Saccharomyces cerevisiae S288C: one gene and its partners. The gene in region 2 interacts genetically with the main gene of each other region. Each region holds a gene or a part of one and is shown on either strand. Other genes may lie near its edges. The genes, in order: SIP1, RPS21A, MDL1 and TMA20.

The links.
Region 1: mutations in RPS21A (region 2) and SIP1 together harm fitness more than expected from each alone (negative genetic interaction), as found in Saccharomyces cerevisiae (2 studies listed by BioGRID).
Region 3: mutations in RPS21A (region 2) and MDL1 together harm fitness more than expected from each alone (negative genetic interaction), as found in Saccharomyces cerevisiae (2 studies listed by BioGRID).
Region 4: mutations in RPS21A (region 2) and TMA20 together harm fitness more than expected from each alone (negative genetic interaction), as found in Saccharomyces cerevisiae (2 studies listed by BioGRID).

What each region holds. Positions count from the first base shown.
Region 1 is NC_001136.10:1,310,532-1,319,674, forward strand, and holds SIP1 (Sip1p), read right to left. Parts: upstream 7,243-9,143; coding exon 4,795-7,242; downstream 1-4,794. Other genes in the region: HKR1 (Hkr1p), read left to right, coding at 1-1,144; ARO80 (Aro80p), read left to right, coding at 1,509-4,361; CAD1 (Cad1p), read right to left, coding at 7,515-8,744; DYN2 (dynein light chain), read right to left, coding at 8,856-9,086. UniProt on the Saccharomyces cerevisiae protein: Beta subunit of the SNF1 kinase complex, which is required for transcriptional, metabolic, and developmental adaptations in response to glucose limitation.
Region 2 is NC_001143.9:548,366-552,742, reverse strand, and holds RPS21A (40S ribosomal protein eS21 RPS21A), read right to left. Parts: upstream 1,087-4,377; coding exon 1,063-1,086; intron 741-1,062; coding exon 501-740; downstream 1-500. Other genes in the region: TRM2 (tRNA (uracil(54)-C(5))-methyltransferase), read right to left, coding at 1,376-3,295; Rho family GTPase RHO4, read right to left, coding at 3,652-4,377.
Region 3 is NC_001144.5:523,923-532,611, reverse strand, and holds MDL1 (ATP-binding cassette permease MDL1), read right to left. Parts: upstream 4,313-8,689; coding exon 2,225-4,312; downstream 1-2,224. Other genes in the region: ATG26 (sterol 3-beta-glucosyltransferase), read left to right, coding at 1-1,815; SKG3 (Skg3p), read right to left, coding at 4,667-7,747; EMG1 (18S rRNA pseudouridine methyltransferase), read right to left, coding at 8,222-8,689. UniProt on the Saccharomyces cerevisiae protein: Mediates export of peptides with molecular masses of 2100 to 600 daltons generated upon proteolysis of mitochondrial inner membrane proteins.
Region 4 is NC_001137.3:161,443-168,727, forward strand, and holds TMA20 (translation machinery-associated protein 20), read right to left. Parts: upstream 5,444-7,285; coding exon 5,433-5,443; intron 5,330-5,432; coding exon 4,795-5,329; downstream 1-4,794. Other genes in the region: YND1 (apyrase), read left to right, coding at 1-1,000; RNA-binding GTPase NUG1, read left to right, coding at 1,281-2,843; PAC2 (Pac2p), read left to right, coding at 3,085-4,641; GTP-Rho binding exocyst subunit SEC3, read right to left, coding at 6,366-7,285. UniProt on the Saccharomyces cerevisiae protein: Involved in translation.

The DNA of each region.
Region 1 (9,143 bases), on a different chromosome or scaffold from region 2:
CCCATTAGGGGGATTGACGTTATATGGCTCTGGAGATGGTGGTTATGTCCCTAGTTTAACCTCATCAAGCGTCTTGGATTCTTCAAAAGGAAATTCCCAAAACATAGATGGAACTTACAAGTATGGAGCTTTGGATGACTTTATCAATTCATTCACAGATTCTGCATCTGCAGGAAAGTATGCTGTAAAAATAATCATCTTTTTGATTGTTTTAACTATTGGCGTACTCTTGTGGTTATTCGTTGCATTTTTTGCTTTCCGTCATAGAAATATATTATTGAAAAGACACCCAAGGAACTGCATAGGGAAAAGCCTCAATAATGAGAGGGAACTTGAAAGTACCGAGCTTTCCCGCTCTTCTTCTGGAAACCAAGTTTATAATGAAAAGCCGCCAGAATCTGAAAATGAAAGTGTTTACTCTGCGGTAGATGATCATTATATTGTGACTGGCGAAAACACAGTCTATAATACTATTCACAGATTACATTATACCATTAATGATGACGGTGATCTATTGTACAGGGACGCAATCCCCCTCGATTTTGATCAAACCAATGGGGATGATGGTTCGGGAATAGACAGTATAGTAAGAGACTGCGTGTATGACAAAAACCAAGATGCTACGGAAGCCTTCTTGAATGATGAGGAGTCCATATCAGGCATTCTAGATGTTGATGAAAATGGTGATATTCGATTATACGACAGTTATTCTGACAATGAAGAGTCAAACAGTTTTCACTTGCCAGACGAAGTTATTGAAAACTATAACAAGAACCATTTGTGCGAAACTAAACTTCATGGACTAGGCACTGAATCATGTACTACAGATGATCCCGATACTGGAAATCAAATTACGAATGAGTTTTCTACAGGGAGTCAGACATGTTTGCCAAGTACCGCTTATACCACACCCCTTCATACAAATTCGATTAAACTTCACACATTACGCTACACAGAATCTTCACTACCAAAGCCAAATCAGACTCTTTTCTCTAATCTTGAAGATTTAGAAATAGAGGATATTGACGACAATGGTAGTGTTTCAGATGTACATATCGAGGAGCTGGATGCTTTAGACGAAGAACTTTATAAGAGAATGTCGAAAGTTATAAAACAACAGAACCATCAAACGACAAAAATATAGCGAAAAATGATTATTGACTGTGCAATAAACGCTGCTGGAAGGGGCGCTTGCAACAAAAGATGATCACAAAAATTGATACCCATTAATACACATAGGCTCACGCCATTACTATTATTATATATATCATCAAGTATTGCATTTGTAATTTTATGAGTCCTTCTTAGTAATACATGAAGGCTTTTTTTTAATATTTTCGGAATCAACGAGAGTACACTATTCTATCCGATGATAACCGAGATAAATGAAGATAGTAACTAACCAATGAAAAAAGAGCGAGAATAAATTAAAGCAATAATATCAAGTTAGTCGTGGGAATATATGATCCACGCATAATAAGGTTACATTAAGCACTGCTTTATCCTCTATGTCTGCTAAGAAAAGGCCTTCGGGAAACGCAGCATTTGAACTTCCAAAACGGAGAAGAACCTACCAAGCTTGCATCAGCTGCAGATCAAGGAAGGTGAAATGTGATCTTGGTCCGGTTGATAACCCACACGACCCACCGTGTGCACGTTGCAAAAGGGAGCTAAAAAAATGTATTTTTAGCTCTAATAAGGGAACTTCGAACGACTTGCCTCCTAATTCGATTAATGCAATAAGTCTGCCATCTCTAGGTAAGAGTAAGCAAGAGATACAAAATGACTCAACGAGCCCAATTTTATCGGATGTACCTTTGTCAAGAAAAGGGATTAGCAGTGAAAAATCATTTAAATCAGAAGGGATGAAGTGGAAGCTTGAACTTTCCTCCATGCAGAACGCCCTAGAGTTTCTGGCCCAAGCTGCTGGAACTGTAGCAAAAGAAGGCGCAAAAGAAATCATAAAAGAGAAGTCCACAACACCGAAACCACTGAAAAGTTCTTTGGATGCGACAAATAAATCTGCTACGGACGAGGGGTTGAAACGACTTTCAAAAAGTGACAGTACTAACACACTTTACGAAAATACAGCAGATATGCTTAACCACACGCTGAATACGAATAGGAAAACATCACAATTAATGGAAGAAATCGGGAAAGTGAGACCTCCACCTACCCGGAAAATTGACGACTTCGATTACATCGGTCCAGATAGCTTGCTTACTAAAGAGGAGGCGATTGAACTCATAGAGGCATTTTTTCTCACGATGCACCCATTCTTTCCCAATATCCCACTTCAATTGCATGATCCGAAAGAATTAGCAGAATATCCAATTTTGTTTTGTGCAATTTTGACTGTTTCTGCTCGCTATCATCCTTTCGATACTTTAGGATTAGACAATGGAGAAGATGGGATGAGACACATTGAAGTTCACGATAAATTATGGGTGTATTGCCAGAAGCTTATATCTCAAACAATTTGGGCAGAGGCTAGTACTAGGTCAATTGGCACCGTGCTTGCTTTCATAATTTTCACGGAATGGAACCCAAGGAGTATCCACTATAAATGGTCTGACTATGCAAATGATCCTGAGTTAAATAATGTCAACGCTAGAGGAAGTAAGAATATTAGTACGAGGAAGGACGAAGAAGGATTGACCGGTGTCGGCGCAATCCGTAGAAGCGACCGAATGTCATGGATGCTGACAGGGTCTGCAGTAAGGCTGGCGCAAGATATGGGATTCATTGAAAACAGCTCAAAAGTATTCATTGTCACTCATATATCTGAGACTACCAGTGCTATGAATATGAATCAAAGATCCTTATTAGCAGAATCATTCAGCGTTTTAAACTTGAATTTAGGAAAAATTGAAAACGATGGAAATGAAAGCAATGAGGATTACCTTGGGAATGAAAAATTTTATCTGAATGAGATTTTGCCTGATGAAGAAAGTAAACTAAGGTGGAAGAGAGTTTTTGAAAACTCAGAAAATGACCACGACAACGAGAAAAATTTTTTGACTGATTGGGAGAGGGAGTTTTTAAACGATGAGTATGTTCTATATTATTCTAATAAAAAAGATGATACTAATCTAGCACAGAATCACATACCACCATTTCCACTAAGATTCTCATTCGCCCAAAGAGCAAAAATAGAGATCATTCGAATCCTATCCATAGCATATGAGACGATTTACTGTGAGAAGAATAAGAGGAAATTGGCAACGACAGATCAGAGACACAACCTCTCTGTCCTAAGTGTTTTTTCTCCCTTGATAGAGGGCTGGCTCAGTAACTACAGAGAGCTTCTTGTACCCCTTTCTGATGTCCCTTTCTCACTAGCAGATAGGAAGAACAAAAAACAAATATTTGATAACATCGATAGAATAAATGGTGAAAGTATTATCACAGATTTCAATTATTGTCAACTTTATATCTTTTCCCTCGCACTGCAAGTGGATGGGAAAACAAGCAGATTGAATATGAATGAAATTGTGACAAGCGCGAGGTATGTGGAATTAGCATACAGATCTGCAAAAGAAATATTGAGTTCTGCAAAGCGAGTTTCAAGGCAAGGAATGCTAAAATACATGCCCGTAAGATGGGTAATACGAATAATTAGATCCATTGCGTTCATAGTAAAATGCTACCTAACACTTACTGGTAGTGAACTGGCAACAAATCCAGATGCCAGAAACATTTTAAAATTAAGTGCAATATCGGTTGACGAAACATTCGATATCATCCGTGACACTGCGGTTACTTTGAAAGAAGCTACACCAGATGAATTACATCTATGTCAAAGATACGCAGCCATATTAATGTACTTATGTACAGAGATGAAACTTCGAAAAAAATCTTACTTAGAACGACCACCCTTATTAAGAGATGGCACCACTCCTCTAGAGAGCAATCGCGAATCCTCACTGGAGGGACAAGACTTAACTAAGAAGCCAATATTCTCTAAACGTATTGGATATAATAAAACCGAGACTACTTTTGAACCCTCGGAAAGGCCTTTGACGGAGGAAATTAATAGCAATTCTCAGAATTCAAATGATACATCTTCTAAAGGTATCGTTGATCCTTTTGTTGAACAAAACAACGATATCACAACAGCGTTACTGAACAATGAACTCTTCCAAGGTCCATCTCTATCTGACGAGGTTACAGATTGGTTCGGTGCTAGTGAAGATATCGGGCTTGAATTTGTAGAACCATGGACAGAACTTATTGAGCAACGATATATGCAATGTGGAGATGGTGATAATAATAATTTCGAAAATTTATACAACTTGTTCGTGAATAGTAATAACATCAATAATGATATTAATAACTCAAGGCCAATAACGCGTAAATAAGTAGATATCAAAGAATTACGTCATCAACCAAGACAACCGCACTATTCGTAAAAATGATTTTAAATACAAAGACAGAATAACAGGGGAAGATGGAGGTATATAATAATGCGAATGCTTCATAATACTATGACTGGTTTTCCATTGGGCATATGAGATGATTTTACGGCTCAATCACTACTTATATATGATTTCTATAACAAAGCAGGCCATTACACATTAGGAACGGCTATCTATTACATAAGAATATGCAGCAAATTCGTTGGATATGTTAAAGTATATTCCACGCATGCTGAGAAGTGGATTGCCAGAAACGTGACGTGAAATACCTACTAGAACAAAAAAAAAAGGAATGCAAACGTTCTAGGAGCCATAGGAATCAAAAAGAAAAAAATTGAATTAATAGAGTTCGTGAGAATCATTGCGAATTGAGATTCTAATTACTGATCTGAGACTTTTGTGTTTTATAATAACAAGGTGCATAAACTACTTGAGTGATAAATTTCCCCTCATATCTAGTAGTGCAAGCTACGCTGATTATTTCATCTCTAATACTGCTTGTCAGTAAATGGTTCAAATTCACGTGGGGTATAATATGATTTATCGCACCTTCATCCCTCTCATGTGATTCTGAATTCTGATTGCTTTGGTTTAGTATTCTGTTCAGATAGGATGAATTCAGGTATATGGGCAAGTCAGGAACTGGGTATCTACTTAGAAAAACCGCCTCTGCTGTTTCTGCATCAATATTACCGCCTTGCTGTAAAGTAGCAAATAAATCATCTTGATTACAGTCAACAACTCTATGTGTAAAGCTGGGAGGTTCTTGGGGATGCACGTCATCAGAATCTCCTTTTACAGAAATCGTAGAGCCGTCACCTATATTAAATAAATTTGGTATTTCGTTCGAATACACCAACCTCTCAGGCTTGACCTCGGCCATCAAATCCAAACTGCTAGCCTTCAGACGTACAAATGAGTCACGCATATTTATTGAACTGGACCTACTTAAGCCTCTATAATCTGAAAACGGTGTACTTGGCCTTTCAACACCCTTAGCAGAATAGTAGGAAGATTTTCGAGAGGAAGAAGGAAATCTTTTAAGTTCCGGTCTCTTGGGCAATTCTTCATCCAGTGTTGGCTCTACTTGCGAGTCGATGTCTGCTTCGTTTCTAAATGGCTCGATCGTATGATAACCGGGCAATACTTCAAACCAGTTGACAAAATTGCCTTCTGAATCCGTAGCTGTAGGAAGAAAATTTGAGTGAGTCAATATACCATTGATGGAGAATTGCAGTCTATAAATTCCTGCAGGCAAAAAAAGATCTGGAACAAACCATTCCTTATGCACATCATCATAAACCATGCGGATCCTAGGATTTAACTGTTTTTCTGAGTCTAAACTTGCATTCTCATCCAAGGTAAGCTCTCTTTGCTCTTTAAGAGCAGAAGCAATATCCGTGCTTACTATAAAGACTTCCGTGGTTGCAGCCACGGTACCATCGTCTTTCCATTTTAGAACAACTAAAGTATTTTCGGTGGAGTTTGTTGATGATATTGAAGACATACTCGACATGGAATTAGAGTGATGCGATATTTCTCTATGCTGCGGTGCAGAGTATTGACTTTCATTGTCGTTAATAATTGGATGTAGTGGATGCAAAGGCTGCAAATTCAAACCGTTTGTTAAGATACTCTTTCTTGATTGTAAAGAATGCAAAGAAGCAAATGAGGATCTTCTCGAATTTGAAACCGACCTTATTTTTTTATTCTGGGCTTTCTTTGTCTTATTATGGTGCTTATTTAAATCTCTTTCCATCAAGGTCTTATCACCGTACAGTTTCATCATCATTTTTGCAGTAGCAGATATAGGTGCGGTAAAATCGTCGTTGGAGCCTCCCGCGTTTCCCTTGTTACGGGTGTTATTTTCAATATTTCCATTGTTATTAGCGTGGCTTATCCTTTCTGCAGTATACATTGAATTAGAGGAATTCACCCTTGAAAGACGTTGCATATCCTTTTTTAAAGCATTTTGTAAAAGAGACTGGTTCAAAACCATATCTTCACTTTGAAGTACGCCTGCTTCTGCATCTACACTATCACTGTTTCCCTCTTTATCCATTTGAGAGTTCTCAGAAAATGTTTCGTCGTTATTGAGATATTGATATTGGTATGCATGGATAGATGGTTTCTTTGAATAGGGTTGTCTTACAGGAATATCAATGGAATCCGTCTTGGTCAAGGCGGGAAGTGATGCTGAATGCACCGATGAAGACCTCGTTGGAGAAGGGGAAGCAGTAGCTGAACTTTCTAAAAGATTTTTTTTCAAAGCTATGATGCTTGAGCGATGCCTTTCATGGTGTGGTTTGTCGTTTCTTTCATTTTCTGTTGTTTCGTCAACCATGGTGTAATTCAAAGTAGACAGATCATCCAGATCACTTTTAGTTCGTTTGACAGTGGCCATTGATGGACCTGGGCTCAAAAACGACGGAGATTTCACCTGCTCTTCGGGTGCACCCACATCGTGATCATCACTTAAAGTCAAATTGGCCAACGTAGTGTCATTTACGTCTGCGGCAGAGGACAAAGAATAATCCTTTTTGAATAGATGGGACGGGCCCTTATCGATAGTAGTATCACTGCTCATGCGCCCATCACAATCTGTCGATGGATCGTGAGATGCAAGTAATTGCATTCTAGGGGGAATGGCACCATTATGTTCGCTAGTATGACTGGCGCGTCTCTTATGAGTACTCTTCCTATTGTTAAACAGTTGAGAGGTTATGCTTCCCTGACGATCTTTATTGAATGCATCATGAAAATGATGTCCATGCTCCTTTTTGGTTGAATGCGATGGATCCTGAGTAGAAGGACTGTTTCCCATGGCGGCTGCAACAACTATATAATATGACAGTTCAACTTTCCAAGATGTCAGTCCACACGCAAAAAAAGAAGTGCAAATGAAAGAAACACTAGGTAAGACACCTTGTTTATGTAGGTATCCACTTGTATCGGATATATCTACCATTGTTAATTGTCAATAGTATTCCATCAGAGACAATGGTAAAAAGACAAAAAAGGTATAATCATCGTACAAAGCGATCAATATTACATGCTCTCATCCAACATTATGTATACTCAAGATATGTTTATATGCTACAGGAGCTGTCTAACCAGAGCACTCTGTAAGTCGCGAGCTTTGACTACTATTTTGCAGTCATCTGTACATTTTGCCTTGATTATTAATTCGCTGCATAAATCATCTATGTCCAACGATGAATATTTTGGTAGGGAGGAGATCTCTTCGAGAATGTGGTAGCAAGACGCTTTTCCATTCGATATGGCGCTGCTAATGTGTTCAATTGCTTCAGATTGGGTTCGAATTGTTTTAGTATGAGAAGCAGCCACCGGAAGCACCGAAGCTAGAGATTTCTGATTCAACAGGTGGCTTGTTATTAAGTCGCATTTGATCTCCTTATTTGAACATGGTTTGGTCCCGATACACTTGCGGTTGCAAATATTATTACACTGGCTCCCTACAGCAAGGGGAAGCACGCTGGGGAATAAAGTATCATCTTCTGTCTCGTATGGAAGATACTTTTGGTCAATTTCACATTGACATGCTGACGTATCTATTTTTTCAGCGGTCAGGCGTTCAGAGTGCTGAGGAAAGTAGTTATGAATGTCGTAATCTAAAGCTTCTAGACCAGTCTGTCTATCATTGGAGACAAGATCGAGACTGAAATCTGGCATTTCACTACCATTAATACTTTCGTCACCGATGGTAACGGCACCTGTTCGATTTCCGGGGGGAGAATCCCACGAATTGGTTAAACTGGGAGCGTTCCATGAGCCTATGTTCCACATAACTTTCTCATTCTCTTGAGTGTGCGGCTGTACTTCTATACTTGTGTTCACAGTCATGTTTTCATCTGAATTAGGCGATGGCAATTCCTTTGCAGCCTTGCTAACTGCTGTACTTGTTCCTTTTTCGTTTTCCCTTTTCTGTTGTTCTTGCAGATCATCGAGGAAGGCTAATATTCTTTCATCATCAGAATTCTTAGCTCTATATTTTGTAATTTCCGACAGTAAACTTTTTAAAGAACATAGTAAAAAGTCCGTGGTAGTCTTATTCTGCGCATCTTTCTGTTCTAGTAACTCTACCCTCTCTTGCAAACTCTTCATTTTGGCTTCTTTCCTATCTCGGAACGCTCGTTGAGCTGCCCTATTCTGGGCAGTCCTCCTACTCTTAGCTTCAGAGTCAATCCTTTTTCTGCCTGGTCTGCCCACCTTCCTCTTAGGTGTTCCATCTTTATTTAGCAACATTTGCTTCTTCATGTCACCTGCTAAATATATTTGCTGACCTTTCCGAAGGATATTGCCCATTTATCTTAACTGGTCGTTCCATTGCTTATATGTCGTCCTTAAAAGTAACACCCCATTCGTATGAAAGTATAATAGTAATTGATTATCGATTAACTATTGAAGAAACACTATTTATGCTGTTTTGAAAACTAAAAACGCCAGTGGACCGATATAGAAATAAACAAAATGGCCCTTTTCGTGTGTCACGTAGCTCCCAAAGTTCTTTCCGACAATCACATGCCAGGTATTGCCGTATTTGACATCCAATTGCTTCTTTACCGTCCCAGCAATGTCTCTTTCCAACTGGTACTTGTCCAGAGCATCTTTACTGATGGTTAAAATATCCTCTTTCAGCTTGTCGGTCTAAGTTTTCTCCTTGTTAGTAAATATATATATTCAAATGTACACACACAAAACATG
Region 2 (4,377 bases):
AATCCCTACTAAGTCTCCACCACGAATTGCCAACAATATTGAAGTAAGTCAAGAGTAAAGGCATAGCTTACAAGCAACAAACATTTTCAGGCACCCTTATACTCTGCTTCTTATCGACATATATAGCACCTCTTTAAGCAAGCTTAAGGTTGTTAGTACGTTTTGACTCCTGAAAATGTATAACACACAAGTAGAGTAGTAATATTTACGGGGTTTTGGGGTCTTTTTTTTGCTCGGGGGTTTCTCAGGGACTCCACACTGCAAAACTTTAAACAGAATAGCCAAGAATACAATGACTCTTCAAATTAAACAGGTTCCGGTTGTCTAAAAATACAATATATTATTATAACCTAAATACCTATAGAGTACCTAAAACGCTTCATCGAAAATCCGACGAATTAGAACATATGGTGAAAAGTTGGTAATGAAGAGAAAAATCGTCAGTTACCTATTAGTCTGAACGATATGAAGCTTAAATCGAATCCTCTTTTTCTTTTCTCTTAACGTGAGTAAGACCAGACGTTCTTTAACAAACCATCGTTTTGAGCCAAACGGTTCAAAGAATCATCAGATTCACCTCTGGATCTAACGTAACCGGACAAAGCGTAGGTAACGTACTCACCTGGGATAGCACGTCCTTCTTCATCAACCTTAGCGACGTTGATTTGAACAGATGCGTGGTCATCAGCCTTGATGATTCTGTTGGTAGCAGAACATTTTCTTGGAACGTAAAGTTCGACCTGATGTAAAACAAATCTTTGTTAGTTATGCTAGTTTAAAAAACACATTGTTGGTGGTGGTGAGTGATGATTTAATACATGTGAAGAAAGTAATCGAAGAATTTTGTCAGAAATTGCTCAACTTTTGTAGGCTGCATTCAGAGCTGGTCTATGGCACCTTCGGAGTTGCTTATTATCGGTAACCATAAGTATGTTTTCCATACATTGCGGATGCCTACGTTTTGTTTGCATTATGATATCTTTCTTACATTTATTTAAACAGCCATGCACTTTCCATTCATCCGTTAAAATATAAAAAATCTTATAGATTTCTCGAACATACTAATTGGCCCTTATCGTTTTCCATTTTGGTATGATGTTTCTATGGTTTGTATGTGGTTAATTTACGCCTGATCACCTTATATCTTCCGCTAAACTCTCTACTAAACATTAGAATAACGTATATGAAATTTTCAAAAAATCGTTGTGCATAATATCACTCTACACGTTACCTTTTTAGTGTAATTTTCGTTCATTTCGAATTGAAAAATGAATCTGAGATACATTTTCAATTTTCAAAATGTACGGATTTAAAAGTACAGGAAGACATTTACTCTAGAAAGATATACATAGTGATAGATATTTTATATGTGCAATTAGATTCTCTTCATTATACACACACTCTCAACGTGGTGCGTTTGTGGAAAGAAATCAAATCCTCTTATGCTTTCAATCTGGTGGGCGGAACCGTTTTCTGTTTCTTTGAGGAAGTACTCGACATCACGTGCCTGGGAATGGACATTACACGATATGTAAATAATCTTGGCTGGATTATATGCGGCTAATTGCTTTAGGAATAATTCGTCACAGCCCTTGCGTGGTGGATCCAAGATAACGGAAGTGTTTTCACTTGGAGTATCAATAGACTCAAAGAGTTTCTCAGCCTTTCCAACGATGAATCTACAGTTTTCAACACCATTTGCCTTTGCATTTTTTTCTGCAAAAGAGACACTGTCAGCGGAAATTTCTACACCAATCACTTTATCTACGCCCTTGGAGCTGCATATACTGAAAAGACCTGATCCACAATAAGCATCTACTAGAAACTTTGTTTTATTATCATCACCTTTAGCGGGAGCTTGCAAGTTATCACGGACATACTTGGTCACTATTGGCAGGATAGAGTTATTATTTTGAAAAAACTCACCCGCACTAAAATTAAAAGTATATCCATCAACATATTCAGTGACAATTTGTCTAGGATTGGTAACGCAAGTTTTAGCCAGCCTGACATTGTTCTTTTTGTCTTCGACTTCGACATAACTTATATCACCATTTTCATCCCTAGAGGCTTCTTCGGTTAACTGTTCTAAAGTTGGTTTGGAAGGGTCTAAAATAGTGGTATTCTCTCTCAGTAAAATAGTCGCGCCTTTTTTGTAGTTTTTAAACTCTTGCTCAAACTTTCTTCTTTCATTAGTCAATCCTTTGTTGAGAACTTCAGTTGCAAGCACACATTCATCGATATCTAATATCGAACCATGTCCGCCGATATCCAAAGTATCTTTTCTCCATTGAGGTCTACCCTTTTGACCAAATCCTAAAGGAGGCCTTACTGATAGTTCCTTTTGTTTTCTTTTTGGCATATCGAAATGAGGCGTAATTTTGGTCCTGTAGCCAAATTGTAAAGGGGAAGCTACGGTGGTGTCAAATGGGGGTAAAAGTTTTTCAGCAACTAACCTTGGTGCGAAGAACTTGTAGGCATTCATAATTGTTTTTCTTTTCAATTCTAGTTGGTCATCGTAAGTTAAGAACTCTAATTGACTTCCTGAAGATTTCCCGAAATATTTATCCCTAATTAAATCATCTCTTCTCATTGGAGATTTTTCCACTACGTCTAATAAATCACTCTCGACATAGTAAGGGTGGGTCTTAAAGACTTTGATATTAACTACATCACCGGGCAGGCCAAACGGTATGATAACAACTTGCTTCTTTTCTGTTTCAACAGGATTATCGATCAAAGCCAACCCGTTGCCATTGGAAGTAATTTCTAAGACCTTGACATTTTTTACCTCTCGGTGATATTGTAAGACGATAGGTCCATCTGTTGAGGACTTATCATTTAGAATTGAAGTAACATCGTTCAGAACCTGCTCCCTGGACAAATTTTGAGATTTTAACAAATCGTTCACTTCAAATTCTAGGACACCCATCGGAGAAGTTGTTTCAACCTTTTTGGCCTTGTACTTTCTCAACTTTGGCTTCTTAGTCCGGCGGTTACCAGAATCTGTCAAAGGAGACGAAAGCCTTTTGTTGTCAACGGTATGTTTCATTGTTGGTGGTACCATTTCAGTACTTCCAGTCATGGTGCTGATTAGTTTATAATTATGCTTCTTGACAAAGTTTCTGCAAGCGAAAAACCTAGCTTTAAATATAGACTTCTGTACGGTCCAAAAGCAACGCATGCATGTGATAATACTCCAGCGTTTTATCGATGAGATGAGATGAGCTTTATATTTAACCTTATTGTCTGAATTTTCGAAGAAAAAAAAAGAAAATTCAAACTGTTCGTACATAATGACTTTGTCCTAAACTATTCCTCTAAAATAAAATGACAGATTTGTACTTTTATGTCACAGAAGCTTTTATTAAGTATTTAATGTAATTAGGCTAGATTAATATCGAATTAGTACTTTATGACATCGAATTAAAATGAATTATTATGATAAAATTGGGATAAATTCGAATATATTGGAGCGGTATATCACACCAGATTCAGAAAAATGGAAGTTAAATTAAATCAGGTTCTAATTGTTTCGTCTTGATAAATAAGATAGCGGAAGATAGTAAAATGTGTGTATTTTTTCTTGCCACTTTTCAAATGTTGTAAGTGCGTACAGAATGGGCAACAGAATAATCTTCATCATTATTCTTACATTATAATACACTTGTTTTTTCTTAATCTTTTCGTTCCGGAAATAGAGACGCTGGTATCTCCAGTAGAAGAATCGATATCTGATCTGGTGGTATTTCTTTTAAAGGGATTTTTGATTGTATGTGTAGGCTCTCTGGGAGCATATAATGAATCGGAAAGTAACGTGTGTATGGCAGTTTCAAATACTTCATCGATATTTTCTTTCAATCGTGCTGAGCATTGAATATGTGCAAATGCCCCCAGACGCTTGGCCAAGGATTCTGCTGAACTTGGTTCCACCAGATCTGAAAGGTTATCAGCTTCATATAGATCTGATTTAAGGCCGACTAGCATGATTGGAGTGGAAGGACAAAAATGCTTAACCTCTGGGAACCAGAGATCTTCCACATTTTTAAGCGATGTCTTACTACCAACAGAATAGCACACCATCAGCACATCTGCATTCGTATATGAAAGCGGTCTAAGTCTACTATACTCTTCTTGGCCGGCAGTGTCCCATAATGCCAATTCTATAATTTGACCGTTGGGTCCTTCTATGTTTGTGACATAATTTTCGAAAATAGTAGGAATATAATCAGTCGGAAATGTTCCTTGGACATAAGATATCAGCAGGCACGTCTTCCCTACAGCGCCATCTCCCACAACAACAATCTTTAGGTGATAATCTGGCAGTTTGTTTGTACGTTTCATCTGCTCATAACTAGGAATGGTAGAAAGGCTTCT
Region 3 (8,689 bases), on a different chromosome or scaffold from region 2:
AATGTTCCCGTTTATGGTAAGATTTACGTATCCAATGATACGGTGTGCTTCAGATCGTTATTACCAGGGTCTAATACATACATGGTTTTGCCATTGGTTGATGTGGAGACATGCTATAAAGAAAAGGGATTTCGATTTGGTTATTTTGTATTGGTTATAGTAATTCACGGTCACGAGGAGCTATTTTTTGAATTTAGCACTGAGGTCGCCAGGGATGATATTGAACGCATTCTTTTAAAGCTCTTAGATAACATATATGCAAGCAGTGCAGAAGGATCGAATATATCGAGTGCTTCTCTTGGCGATGTTCAGCATAACCCTGACTCAGCGAAGTTGAAGCTTTTCGAAGATAAAATTAATGCCGAGGGCTTTGAGGTACCGTTAATGATTGATGAGAATCCGCACTATAAAACAAGCATAAAACCAAACAAGAGTTATAAGTTTGGATTATTGACGATTGGCTCAAGAGGGGATGTTCAACCATATATTGCACTTGGAAAGGGCTTGATAAAAGAAGGTCACCAAGTGGTAATAATTACACATTCGGAATTTAGAGACTTTGTTGAAAGTCATGGAATCCAGTTTGAAGAGATTGCTGGTAACCCAGTGGAGTTGATGTCCTTGATGGTGGAAAATGAATCAATGAATGTTAAAATGCTGAGAGAAGCTTCGAGCAAATTTAGGGGATGGATCGATGCTCTTTTACAGACATCTTGGGAGGTTTGTAACAGAAGAAAATTTGATATTCTGATTGAATCACCCTCAGCTATGGTTGGTATTCATATTACTGAAGCATTGCAAATTCCTTATTTTCGAGCATTTACCATGCCATGGACAAGAACAAGAGCATATCCACATGCATTTATTGTACCAGATCAAAAAAGGGGCGGTAACTATAACTACCTGACACATGTCCTTTTCGAAAACGTTTTCTGGAAGGGAATTAGTGGGCAAGTAAACAAGTGGAGAGTTGAAACTCTAGGTTTAGGGAAAACAAATCTTTTTCTTTTACAGCAGAATAATGTTCCTTTCTTATACAATGTTTCTCCTACAATTTTTCCGCCATCAATTGATTTTAGCGAGTGGGTGAGAGTTACAGGATATTGGTTTCTTGATGATAAGAGTACTTTCAAACCGCCAGCAGAATTACAAGAATTTATTTCTGAGGCAAGATCAAAAGGAAAAAAATTGGTTTATATCGGGTTTGGTTCGATTGTAGTCTCTAATGCCAAAGAAATGACGGAAGCTCTTGTCGAAGCAGTTATGGAAGCAGATGTATACTGCATTTTAAATAAGGGATGGTCAGAAAGGTTGGGCGATAAGGCGGCAAAGAAGACAGAGGTAGATCTTCCAAGAAACATTTTAAATATCGGAAACGTTCCCCATGATTGGTTGTTCCCACAAGTCGATGCTGCCGTTCACCATGGTGGTTCTGGAACTACTGGAGCTTCATTACGTGCTGGTTTACCTACTGTTATAAAACCTTTCTTTGGTGATCAGTTCTTTTATGCAGGTAGAGTAGAAGACATTGGAGTTGGTATTGCTTTAAAGAAACTTAACGCTCAAACATTAGCAGATGCTTTAAAAGTAGCTACGACGAACAAAATAATGAAGGATAGAGCTGGATTAATAAAGAAGAAAATTTCCAAAGAAGATGGGATTAAAACTGCAATAAGTGCAATTTACAACGAACTTGAGTATGCAAGAAGCGTTACTTTATCAAGAGTGAAAACTCCGCGCAAGAAAGAGGAAAATGTAGATGCAACCAAACTGACACCTGCTGAAACAACGGATGAAGGGTGGACGATGATTTAAACCGAGTATCACTCTCACTTTTATAAAAAAGCGTAACATCTAATCATTAATAGTAATAAATAATTAATTTTTTTTTTGTAAGTTTCAGTCATATTTGTACTCAGGAAAGATATGAAAACGATAATGTTGATAATAAGAATAATAGTAACAATAATAAAAAAGTAAAAAAATAAAGCTTAATTTGAGTTTCCTAAACGTACCGTATGTTGTGCATCTAATATTAATTTAATGTGTATAAAGGCGTACAAGGAGCTTTAAAAAAAAACTGTTTGTGTAAATTACATTGGGCATCATTTAAATTATAGAATACACAATTTCATATTCAGCAAACATAATGCGATAATTAATTGTCTTCCAACACATACCATAACTGTGGCATAGAAAAGTGATTCCATACTGCGGCAACTTCTTATACTTCCCGGGCAACACTATTGTCCAAATCTATCACTCCCCCTTTTCCTTCCTCGTCCTGCTGTTCGGCAAGCAGCGCATTTAGTTCACTATTAGGAATGGCGATTAGATCTCGGAATGAACCGGTTTCAACCACTGAGCCATGTTTTCCTAACACAATCACCCTAGTACTGTGTTTGATCGTCGAAAGCCTATGTGCAATTGATATAGTAGTGAACCCCCTTTCCACACGTCTCTGAAGATTTTTGGCAACTATTTCTTCACTTTGAGAGTCAAGGGCACTGGTTGCTTCATCTAAAATAAGGACGGCAGGATCTAGTAAAAACGCTCTAGCTAATGCAATTCTTTGCTTTTGACCACCGGACAATTGCGCGCCTCTAGCACCAACCATAGTCTGCAATCCATCTGGAAAATTGGCCAAAAATTTTGTGCAATTAGCTTTTCCAATAGCACGTCTAATACGATCATCCTGCTCCGCAATTTCAGGCGGAATGCAGTAGAGGATATTGTCCAGAATAGTCCCATTGAAAAGTAGTGGTTCTTGTTGCACGTATCCTATTAGTCTTCGATACTTCCTCAAGTTGAAATTTCTGATGTCTTCATCACCAAATTCGATCGATCCTGAGTTCACATCGTAGTACCTGAGCAACAAAGACGCAATTGTTGATTTGCCGCTTCCTGATGGACCGACAGCGCAAACGTGTTCACCAGGCTTGATAGTAATATTCAAATCCTTGAAAATCTGGTGTTTGGGCCGAGTGGGATAAGTGAATGACACGTTTTTGAAAACGATGGGTTTTTGGGCTAATGACACAGGATCCTTTCCAATAGTCGGACGAATCAATGGCTTACGGTCATTTAATTCAAAAACCCTGGCAGCCGCACCAGCACCTTTCATAAGTTCTGAATAGAAGCTCGATAAACCAAATAATGAACTTCCGGTATACACGGCATACATCATGAAACTAGATAATTCACCGACAGTCATTGAACCACTTTGAATCATGCTTGTTCCAACCAATAATAACGACAGCATTGCAGTGTTGCCAACTAGCCCAGTACTTCCGAAGAATAAACCGGAAGTAACCGCTTCCTTCAGACCAATATGAAATACATTTCTAACCTCTTTTGCATAGCGGCGAACCTCGTTTTTTTCACCACCATATGCTTGAATTGTCCTAGTAGCATTTAATTGCTCTTCTGCCACTTTTGTTAACCCACCTACTGAGGTTTGTAACTGTCTTGATAGGTTTCGTATTTTCCTACCATATATCAGTGCCATAGCACCTAAAGGAGGGGCTAAAATCATCATTACGCAAGTCAATTTCCACGAGAGGAAGCTCATCATGCCAAAACCGACAAACCCTTGAATAATTGCCCTTGTTCCATCAGAGACGTTTTGTGTGACCGATTTGGCCACTATAGATGCATCAGATGATAATCTTGAGATCAAATCACCGACACGATTAGTATCTAAAAATGTGGCATCTTGATCTAATGCAGCTTTCATTGTTCTCGTTCTTAATCTTGCGACCAGTCTCTCACCGGTGACCTTTAAAATGATGATTCTGCTTGCATTAGCAACTGCTCCAATTATAAATACTGCTCCTAATGCTGTGAAAAATTGCTTCTTCGTAAAACCATATAACTTATTGCTTTTTGAGCCCTCTTCATCTTCGCCGTCACTTTCGGAAGCCAAGTCTAATAATTTACCGATAACGGAAGGTACAGCCATACTAACTGAACTTGAAATGAGGATTAAAAGGAGGGCAAGACCAATGTACTTGGATTCCGGTTTAGATAAGACGAATAGCCGTTTAATGTCTTTAAACCCCGAGGATTTTGAATTTGCATTGGACAACTTTAAAGTGGGCTTGGTGGACTTCTTTCCTTGCGCAATGTCTGATTGTAATCGAATCGACCGCAACAAAAAGTGCTTTCTATGTGGAATAATCAAATTAATTTCCGCTTTTTGGTACATGGGAGGTTTGAACAATGACTTGGTTGAATATAGTGCACTTGCTGATGCGAATTGACTTCGCAACAACTTTGGACCTTTACAAAGACGTATCATTCTTACAATCATTGGAGCCCTTCCTCTTCTTTAACTTAGTAAAATTTCAATGATCTGCTTCTCATGTAAGTACCCACGTCTGCTTAGTTGAATCTAGTTGCATGTTGGGCAATACTGAATACGTAACATATATACAAAGCATTTGTGATTCTGAAGTCTCGGCTCGATGCGCCTAAACGAAACGCGACGCCAGTAATATAATACCTGTTAATGAAGATTTGTTTAGCTTAAAAGCAAAGGTAAAGAGATAAATAAGGGTATAGAGGTATATTATAGTCGTATTAAAAAAATAATACATTTATGGGAAGTTATATAAAACTACTGAATTGTAAAAAAAAAAAAAAGAAAAGATGAAATATAAATGAATCAGCTGGAATATGGGTTGGTTGATGTGCTATTGGGAGGCATAAATTGAGAAAATCCACTTTGTGCAGTAAGCGGATTTGTGCGGTTAGTGGTATTTATATGGAGGCTGGGACGGCCATCTGGTACATGGTGCTGTGTTTGCGGTATTGGAGATCTATCATTTATTGGTAACTTATTATTCAAATATCTCATATTTTGAGGCTGTTGTTGCAGTTGCGGCGATGGATGGAATGTATTTTGATTGTTACCACTTCCATAGGTATTGTTTCTGAAGGAAAGTGATTGGTTTTGGCGCTGTTGCGACGAATGAAACCGATGTTGCGAAGATTGGAAAGAATACATTGATGAGTTTCCACCTTGTTGCATAGGCTGGACGGTCAGCGGACCCGTTCTTATCTTACCTAACGGGCGACCAACCGGGTATGGTGCTTGAGGCTGCGAGCTATTGGCTGAAGAATTTCTGTAACCAAATGACGAAGTTTGTGGTCCTTTCACATGAAGTGGTTGAGATTGTTGAGGTTTGTTTATTTGATCACCAGAGAAATCTTCCCTATCCTGATAGTTTCCTCCATTCGAAGTAAGCTGGTTTAAGTTTGTAAATAAAGAAGAATGTGGGATCTTGTCATTTCTGTCACTGGCAGAAAGGGTTTCAGTTACTGTTCGGTTGGTTTGCCCATTGCTATAATTACTGGATGCTGCATCCTGATTATCTGAAAAGTCAAACTCATCCGTAGTGTACCTACTTTCTGTTTCCAACATTTGGTTTTGTTCCATATAATCTGGATCAAATACGTTTTCCTCCCCAAAATCCGGCACACGTTGTTCTTCATTGAGATTGACCGATGAACTGTTATTGATATTCAAGTTCAGGTCCGTAACAAAAGAACTGTTTTCTGCTGTGTCACTTAAAGCTTCTGAAGAAATATTTGCCATTCCCATATTGCTAATCTTTTGAGATAACTCTTCAAACTCTTTCAAAGATCCCAGGTCCTCATTTTTTGAACGTCTACTATCTTCTACCCTCAAAGGCGAAGAAAGGGAAGTATTTATCGTACTTTTCGACTCTCTGACGTTACCTATTTCAAATGTCTTGCTTTCAGCGGATGTACCTACGTATCTCTCATAGGGGCTTCTGTTTTCATTTTTTGACCGATCTTTAACTTCCAATTTTTGAGGTTTAGGGCTTGAATTAGCCTCCGATTTACCAAACGGAGATGTGGAATATTTGTCGTAAAGGGCGGATAATTCGGCTGCATTGGCGAGGTGAATATGTTTGTCTTCTGGTGTCGTAGAGAATTCGTTAGCAGATTTCGCTTCAACGTCTTCCATATTTTCCAAATTTGAATCAGTGATTTTGAGTTTTAATCCTGAACCAAAGCTTCTCTCTGAATTTTCATGGTTGAGCATTCCTGATGTCATTGGGGTGGTAAAAGTATCTTTGAAGTTAGTAGTGACACTGGACTGCGCCGACACAGAGTCATTGATTTTTGAAGAATTATCAGTCACAAATAATTCAGTTTGTTTTACTGAGGTAGCATGTGAGTTTACGGAAGCAGAAGCGGAATTAATATCATCGGTCGATGCTAATGTAGGAGACTTCATCTTAGATTTTTGCGGACTTTCCATTTGTCTTTCAGGGAGAGAATCGTACCCTTCAAATAATTCAGCTGAACTAATTGCCGGCGACTTCATCATCCCAGATGAAACTGATACAGTTTTATTACCACAGCCTTTATAGCCCTTACTTAATTTTTTCTGTAATACTTGAACAATGTTATTCCTCCAATCAGCAGCACTCCAATGTATGTAATTTTTGTCTTTTGTTAATGATAAAACGTCATCCACCTGCAAATAATATATATGCGGAAGAGTGGGTAAGGCAAACAGCAGGGAGTCTGGGTCAGTTCTGTTGGCAATCAAACCCTTTGGCCTACCATATAAGTAGAACGCGTTCATAGCTGGGATTAAGAAGCGAATAATAGTGTCATATCCCGGAACACCTTGATGCTTTTCAGGCATGATAAATAGGTTGGTTTCTTGAGGTTCCTCACTTTTGTCAAAAGAGACAAAACCTTCCAATTTTATGATTGTAGATGTGTCGATTAATATCGGCGAGGAAGGATAAACGGCATATAAAGCCCGTGCATCTACTACCGTTGTCATTATGTTTGATTTTTTGGTTTTTTTGTTATTTTCATAGAAACATATTGAACCTTTCGAATTTTTCTTTTTTTTGCCAGACTGTGGAGAAATAACAGCATAACAACGTTTCCATGGCATACCTGTCCCGAATCTTACGCTAACCCAGTCCTCATAAGTGAATTTTGTATCTGCCATAACAACTTTGATATCACCAAGTTTAACACCTCTGCTTGACAAAAATGAGCCCGTGTAGGCCTCTTGCAACGCCGTAAACTCGAACAAACTAAGCCTAATTGCTGCGTTCCAAGTTTTGAATGATTTTGAATTTTTGAATTTTAAGAAATACCTGTTTTTTAAAGTTGTTGAAACAACAAGAACATTGTCTAGATCTTTCTTTGTCTTTTCGTTCTCTGATGCAATGATTACCTGATCATTAGCGTCCAAACTCCTCACAGAAGCATCTGTAAAATTGATAAAAGAAGGTCTCGATGCGGCTTTTTTCATGGTTGATGTGTTCTTATTATTCTTGGAATCTGATAATTCTTTTGCATCCCATAAAGCCAGCTGAGTTCCTAGCAACACACCATAGCATTCTTCCCACTGACGCGCGGCAGGTGTTCCGTCTGTCTTCAAATCATGTAATATCAAGAATATACCATAATGGTATCTCCTATGAGCCTGTGCAGAGAGTAAAGTAACGATTGGTACTAGTTCTGGTGAGATATCACCATTAATAGAGTGTTCTTGCGGAAGATCTAACGTAGGGCTCCCAGGAGTGGATATTGAGTTACTGAAGAGTCTTGAAGCTGATGCTGATAAACTTCGAAGCCCTTGGTCGAATTTGGGAGAGCTCGGAGTGGATGGGCTCTCATCATTTTTGAAAACTTTTGGGGGAGCAGATAACTTTGGGGACTTCACACCAGAGAAAATCCTTTTCATTTCTTACTGTAGCTTCTTGGTGTTCTTGCAGTTACTTGTTCTTTTATTGCCACGCTTTGGGACTTCAATTTTGGTTTTCTTTGATTTCCGTTTTACGAATATCGTTTAGTAAGAATAAACAGTGCCAAAAAGACCAAATCGGCAAGGCGCTAGGGAAATGATACTGGCAAGTTAATTAGCAATATTAAGTGCCGTTTGCAGTTGTAAAAAAACTTTTCCAACGAGCTCTTTATCCTTTGTCTTTGCCAAGAGTTCTTCCACGTTTTGTTTATATCATATTGAAATTTTGTTCACCGTTCAGGGTCCGAATTAGGTGAAATATTCAAAGACTGAGCCTCGTTCAGATGACTTCCGAACCATTATTTCGCGTGGGGGAAGGATAGAGGTGCAGTCGAATTAATCGCTAACTCGATTGTTTCTATATCGTATATTGACTGTTTATTATACAAAGAGGATGCCAAGTAGACTTAAACACTATAAAATATTCCAAGCATCTTCAGCGCCATGGCAAAATTTAGAACATGCAACTGAGGCAGACAATGGGTAATTGGACAAGCCGACTTTTTCGTCGACGTATTCATCCGCAAAGTTATCTTTACCTCTTGCCATGGCACCAACAAAGACACATATACTTTCATCATCGTCTAGTTTTTCGATGTAATCTTGAACGCGGATAACTGGTGCGTCAAAGGATAATGTCACCTTACGGCACTTAGTAGGTAGGTGATCGGTAATTGGGTTCTTAATGACTTTAAGTAACTTTTCTTCAGAATTTACCGATCTGATAGAAAGCTTATGTAGTAACTGAACCATTAAACCTGAAAATCTTTTGAAAGTTCTTGGTATACGAACAGTGGGGTTAACCTCGATCAGAATTCCTCGACTTGTTTGAATATAGACCTGCAGCTTTCCGGCTTTGTTGATTGGAGAATCTAGCAACGT
Region 4 (7,285 bases), on a different chromosome or scaffold from region 2:
ATGTACAAAATCTATTTATCCGTTACTTTTAAAGAACATGCCTTGTGATGACGAGCCGTGCTTGTTTAATGGTGTTCATGCTCCTCGAATAGACTTTGCCAATGACAAATTTATAGGTACTTCTGAGTACTGGTACACTGCCAACGACGTATTCAAACTTGGGGGCGAATACAACTTTGACAAATTTAGCAAAAGCCTAAGGGAGTTTTGCAATTCCAATTGGACGCAAATATTAGCGAACAGTGATAAAGGCGTGTATAATTCTATTCCGGAGAATTTTTTGAAAGATGCATGCTTTAAGGGCAATTGGGTCCTTAATATACTTCATGAAGGGTTTGATATGCCTCGAATAGATGTCGACGCAGAAAATGTCAATGACAGGCCCTTATTTCAAAGTGTGGAAAAAGTCGAAGAACGAGAGTTATCGTGGACACTAGGCAGAATTTTACTTTATGCCTCAGGTAGCATATTGGCAGGTAATGATGACTTCATGGTGGGTATTGCGCCCAGTGAAAGAAGAACTAAGCTCACTGGTAAGAAATTCATACCTGGCAAGTTACTGGAGTCTGATCAACTACGCAAGCAAAGTTCCAGCCTTTCTAATAAAGGATTTTTGATGTGGTTCGCAATTATTTGTTGCATATTTTACTTGATCTTTCATAGGTCACACATAATCAGAAGACGTTTTTCCGGTCTGTACAACATTACCAAGGACTTTAAGACAGGCATAAGGAGAAGGTTGAAATTTCTAAGGAGATCAGATCCATTTTCCAGATTGGAGGAAGGTGAACTTGGAACAGACGTAGATGGCTTCAAAGATGTGTACAGGATGAAGAGTAGCAGTATGTTTGATCTTGGTAAGAGTTCAGCCACAATGCAAAGGGAGCACGAACCACAAAGGACAGCAAGTCAGTCCGCTAATCTCGCTCCGTCAAACTTACGACCTGCGTTTTCTATGGCTGATTTTTCCAAATTTAAGGACAGTAGGCTATATGATTGAATGTGGTGGTGTATGTGCCATAAATAGAAGCGCATATACTTCTCACATAAATATATGTATATATCTAGTGAGGTGCCATAGTATTGCATTAACAGTGATTCACGTCACTCTAAACGTCGCTTCTGTTTTTTTTTTGAAATTTTTTTCTCACAGCTGCTGAAAATTTTCGAGCGAGGCGATGAGATGAGCTAATTATATCAAGAGGGAATTGTACTAGTAATACTTTGGTACACACAAGAACAAGCATATAGGTATACAGTCACGACTATAATATCATAAAATGAGAGTCAGAAAGCGCCAATCTAGAAGAACATCTACCAAGTTGAAGGAAGGTATTAAGAAGAAGGCTTCTGCCCATAGAAAAAAGGAAAAGAAGATGGCTAAGAAGGACGTTACTTGGAGATCAAGGTCTAAGAAAGACCCTGGTATTCCTTCTAACTTTCCTTATAAGGCTAAGATCTTAGAAGAAATAGAAGCCAAAAAAATGAAGGACTTAGAGGAAAGAGAGCTTGCCAAACAACAACGATTGGAGGCTAGGAAAGCTGCCAAGGAACAAGGCGTTGATGCAATGGATGAAGACATGATAGAAGACGATGAAAATGGATTAGCAGCTTTGGTTGAGTCTGCTCAGCAAGCAGCTGCTGAATATGAGGGCACACCCTCTAATGATGCAGATGTTCGTGATGATGAATTGGACGTCATTGATTATAACATTGATTTCTACGGTGAAGATGTAGAAGGCGAGTCAGAACTTGAAAAATCTAGGAAAGCTTATGACAAGATTTTCAAATCCGTTATTGATGCTTCTGATGTCATCCTATATGTTTTGGATGCCAGAGATCCAGAGAGTACAAGATCAAGAAAGGTGGAAGAAGCCGTCTTACAAAGTCAGGGTAAAAGGCTGATTTTAATACTGAACAAAGTTGATTTAATTCCCCCACATGTATTGGAACAATGGTTAAATTACTTAAAGTCTAGTTTTCCTACAATCCCATTAAGAGCTTCTTCTGGTGCAGTCAACGGAACTTCTTTCAACAGAAAGCTAAGCCAAACCACTACTGCAAGTGCACTGCTAGAGTCGCTGAAAACTTACTCTAATAACAGCAATTTGAAGAGATCTATTGTAGTGGGTGTTATCGGTTATCCAAATGTTGGTAAATCATCTGTTATCAACGCTCTTTTGGCGCGCCGTGGAGGTCAATCAAAGGCTTGCCCAGTCGGTAATGAAGCAGGTGTTACTACCTCTCTGAGAGAGATCAAAATCGACAACAAGTTGAAGATTCTAGATTCTCCTGGTATATGTTTCCCAAGCGAAAATAAGAAAAGATCGAAAGTTGAACATGAAGCTGAATTAGCTCTTCTAAATGCTCTACCGGCAAAACACATTGTTGATCCGTATCCAGCTGTCTTAATGTTGGTAAAGAGACTAGCTAAATCAGATGAAATGACAGAGAGCTTTAAAAAGCTGTATGAAATTCCTCCTATTCCTGCTAATGATGCAGATACGTTTACAAAACATTTCTTAATTCACGTCGCTCGTAAAAGAGGTAGATTAGGGAAAGGCGGTATTCCAAATCTTGCCAGTGCTGGTCTTTCGGTACTTAATGACTGGAGGGATGGTAAAATTCTTGGTTGGGTTTTACCAAATACATCGGCAGCTGCATCTCAACAAGATAAACAAAATCTAAGTACTATAAACACTGGCACTAAACAAGCTCCAATTGCAGCAAATGAATCCACCATTGTATCCGAGTGGTCCAAAGAATTTGATTTGGATGGATTATTTAGCTCTCTTGACAAGGCCATAGATGCTAGCAAAGATCAAGATACAATGATGGAATAAATAAGTCATATGTAAGGCTATTTTTATGTAAGGGGTGTTTCTTATTTTTTCTTTATCATCAAATAACATTACTGTAAATTATAGGTGTGCTTTTAAACTCATTACTATACATCTTATTTTTTTTAGTTTTACTGCCTTTTTGCTCTTTGGACAAAGAAATCATTAAAAAGTTCCAACTTTTATTATGTTTCATATATAAGATATACAAAATATAAAATGCAAAACGAATTTCAGAGATAGCATGACTTATGAAATTGGGGACAGACTCAAGATTGGTGGATATTTTTGCACCATCAAATTCATAGGTGTTATTAAGCCGTGGCCTTCGGTAAAAGCTTATGGGGTGGAATGGGACGATCACAGCCGGGGAAAACATTCTGGAACAATAGATGACATACACTATTTTGACGTTCAAATTCCTAATTCAGGATCATTTTTGAAGGAGTCTAAGATTAAATCTCCAGGTGTACGCAGAATTACGTTTTACGAAGCATTGTCAGAAAAGTATGGAGGCTCGAGTAATAACATTAATGACCTATCTATAGGTAACAAAAGGGTTGAGGGTTTGGGATTCGATGAACTAAATGCGAGAAATAAGAATTATAAGAAGTTAAGAAAAATAGCTTTGCGAGATTCCGATGTCGCTATATTGTTTCAAAATCAAGATGAGTTAAACCGTGTAATACAAAATTGTGTGAACGTCAAGGACCTTGATTTATCGCTTAATCTATTCACGAATATCAACTCTTTATGTGAGTTCATAGAACCTTTGAAGAACTTGGAGAGCCTTAATATATCTCAAAATAAACTTTTAAGCGGTTGGGACAACTTGAAAGAATATGACCTATCACACATCAAAACTTTACGTCTGTCTTCCTGTGGTTTAAGTTATAAACATATTGGTAAGCTGCTCAAAAGCTTCAGGACACTGAAAATGTTGGATTTAAGCTATAACAACTTGACCAGTGCGGGAATCCAAAATTTTGAGAATGAAATACCGTGTACTTTGGAGGAACTGAATATTAGCGGAAATAATCTTATATCGTTTCCATTGTTTCCAAAAAATTTGACATTGAAAGGTTTAAATGTCTCCAATAATCAAATTTCTAGAGCACCAAGTATTGCTATTTATTCTGTTGAATCCTTGGATATAACAGATAACAAATTTAAGGAAAGAAGTTTGATAGATGATTTGAATAAGACATTTCCCTCTTTGAAAAATATCCATCTGAGTGGCAACGAATTCAACTACAACGGAAATTATATTAACGTCGAAGAACAGGCTACTTTTTATGAAGTACTGGCTAGGTTTGATCGTGTGATGGTATTGAATGGATCAATATGTGATGTAAAAACAAGAAGAGAGGCTGAGATGTTTTTTGTTTCCAAGGTAATGAATAACGAATTGAGCTATGACACCAATCTGCCGCGTTGGTCAAGCCTCATAAAGTCGTATGAAATCGATATGAGTAAGCTAAGTTTCAACAATGAAAGAGAAACACGGCAATCTCTTGTCTTAAAAATAAAGATAAGAGCTGGCAAGAAGCCGAGTAGTGATTTAGATTATTGGGTCCTTCCCAGTTTTACAGTAAGGTACGTTAAGAGTGTAATATGTCGAAAGCTAAACTTTGACATACTGAATGTTAAGTTATTTCATGAAAATTCTGAAGGGATGATAAACGAAATAAAGTATAATTTTCGCCCCATTTCAGATTTTAATGTTGTGAACGGAGATATTATTCATGTTTCGTCTCCAGTAAATAACAAGAGCATTCAGAAGGTTAACAGCCCATCGTAATCACAGTATATAGTTAATCTTGGCTAGTTGCATATTTAAAAATCAGGAAACAGCCTTTTAGATTGTAAGCGGATGTTATTCTAATTTTTTCTTAGTTTCTTTATTTTATTATGTAGCAGATGGATAGTAATATAGTGTTGACGGCTCCGTTTGTTACTCAACGCTGAAGTTCCATAAGGGGTCGCCCAAATGGTGAATCAATTCTATGGAATGACCTTTGTTCACTGATTTAATTTCTTCAGTACCCATCATCAATTCACCAATAGCCAATGCATTCTCTTTATTTTCGGCATTGATGACTACAATCGTACCTTTCTCGTAACCAGGAGCAGGTGGTAAGTCGGCACCCGCAGAAGTTAGGCCAGGGCACATGATATTAGCACCTGAGAGAACGAATTTAATAGCACCTCTATCAACCTGAACAGTGGGATAAGCCTCTGGAAATTTGTGTACTAATTTCAGGCTTGGAATCAGTTCATCGAATTTTTGAAAAAAAAGAACTTCACCATCGACGGAATACAATTGGATCTTATCTTCACATTTAATCAACTCGATTTGACTCTTCTTAGGAATTAATTCATCAATAACATCTTCTATTTTGGGGTACTGCTTGACCAATTTGGCCTTTAACGTTCTTTGAATTGAAGATTTGACCTTTGAACGTGAATGGACATCTTCTCTTGTGAATCTATCGATGATGATGTTAGTAATTGCTTACTGAGTCAAAAGTGTACACTAACCCCTGGTAAAACCAGTGAATTACGCAATATTCATTCTCATGTTAGACATACTTCTTAAACATTTCCTCTCTGCTGTTTTAGTTTACCGTCTTTGTCTTTTATATGGTTTTACATAAGGTTATAGCAAAATCAAGTTTTTTCACACAATAATTTTTCAGATAATTAAATTTTTCGTCATTTTTACACCTACAAATACAAAGCATAAGAGTAAGGTAACTATGAATTTAGTGGAAAATGACCATAATGATAATTATCAATAGATAAAATTATGGTTTTTGAGGTGAAGTTGAGGTCTCGTTTATAGACGGCACTGTCAGGTAATTGGTCAACTCTCCTATACAAAGTTTACTGTATCGGGTGAAAAGAAAGACACACAAGAAGGAGAACACTCATGCCTACCATTTTAGTTGCCATTTCTGTATTACTTACAATTCCAGCTTCTATAACGTGAACTCACATTAGAGAATTCGGTGAAAAAGAAAAGAAAAATATGGTTGGGCCCTCAATTGAATGTTTCAGTCCGGTATCCCTAACCTATTTTTTGATATTACTTCCAAAGAAAAATAAACAGTCCCTTTGAAAGAATGAATATCGGTAATGAAAAAAGGTATTCCAAAAATTCCCTACATAGTCTTGAAGTATTCAAAAGCGAACACCGAATTGACCATGAGGAGACGGTCTGGTTTATAATTAAATTTCAACCAGCAAAAACACAATCTCGGACGAATCCTCACTGATATGCGTATTTCCCGTGCATAAGGATGGAGTATTAAGGAAGGAAGTGAAAGAAAAGAAAATGCATTAAACGTAAGTAACAATAGTAATTGGACAATGAAGCTAACTAATATTCTGTTCCTTTTATATTCAGAAAAAAAAATTCGAAAACTAATATATCATTTTACACGATATTTGAAATTGAAATTTATCAAAATATTTACTTAATTAGTCTAAATATGTAATATGAAGCGACAATGCAGAGGTTACTTAGGCATTCTTGTATTCCTCGAACGCACTTATGATATCGTTCTTCGTGAAGCGTATGTTTGTCCCTCTATAGTGTTTATCAATTACAGTGTATAGTTTCAAGTATAGTGAGACGGTTTGACCTTGAATGCACGACCACAACTTATCGCATAGGACGTTGTTTATGGCATTTTCTTGGTGGTAACCGAAGTCATTTACCATATGAGTGTGCAGCCTTTTTACTAGAGTTTCAATTTCATGGGAAGTGTATGCTAAAAGAATGTTCTCTAGGTTCTGCCTGCTATATGCGGCCCATCTTGAAGGATTGGTCATGTTCACATTGTTGGTATTTTCAATGATGTTGCTCACACCATAAACAAAGGCTGTTAGTTTAGGCATAGTATCGCGGAGTAGAAAGGAAGCATAAGATTCTTTTTCCACATCGAAAACTTTCTTAACGTTTTGCAATGACGTATCAAATATACCATCCTTATTGAAGTTTAACATGGAAAGCATTTCAGTTAGCCAGTTACTGTTCACTAGGAGAGAAATAGTTTCCATATAGTCATTATTTAAAGCAGCAGTATCTGAAAGGTTTGGATTAATGCTTGAATTAACTTCTTTGTGAGTTATCGATCGTGTGGCAGCTATGCTTAGCTTCCTGAAGCTCGAATTCATTAATTCGATGGACTCGTAGCCTTCATCGGTATCTTTAATATCCATAGACCTCTTAGCAAATTGGAACAAATCTTCTGAATTCTTCAAGCCTACTGGTAAATCAAGTATACCTGGAAGAATTTCTCCATTGGTGGTTGCGTTAGAAATTCTTTCGAAGTGCAAAACCTGCTCTTCTACATTATCAGACCACACTTGTTTTATTTGTGTGTACATTCTAGTCACTGCAGACAATAAAAATTCATGGTTGGATGATTCTAAGCTTT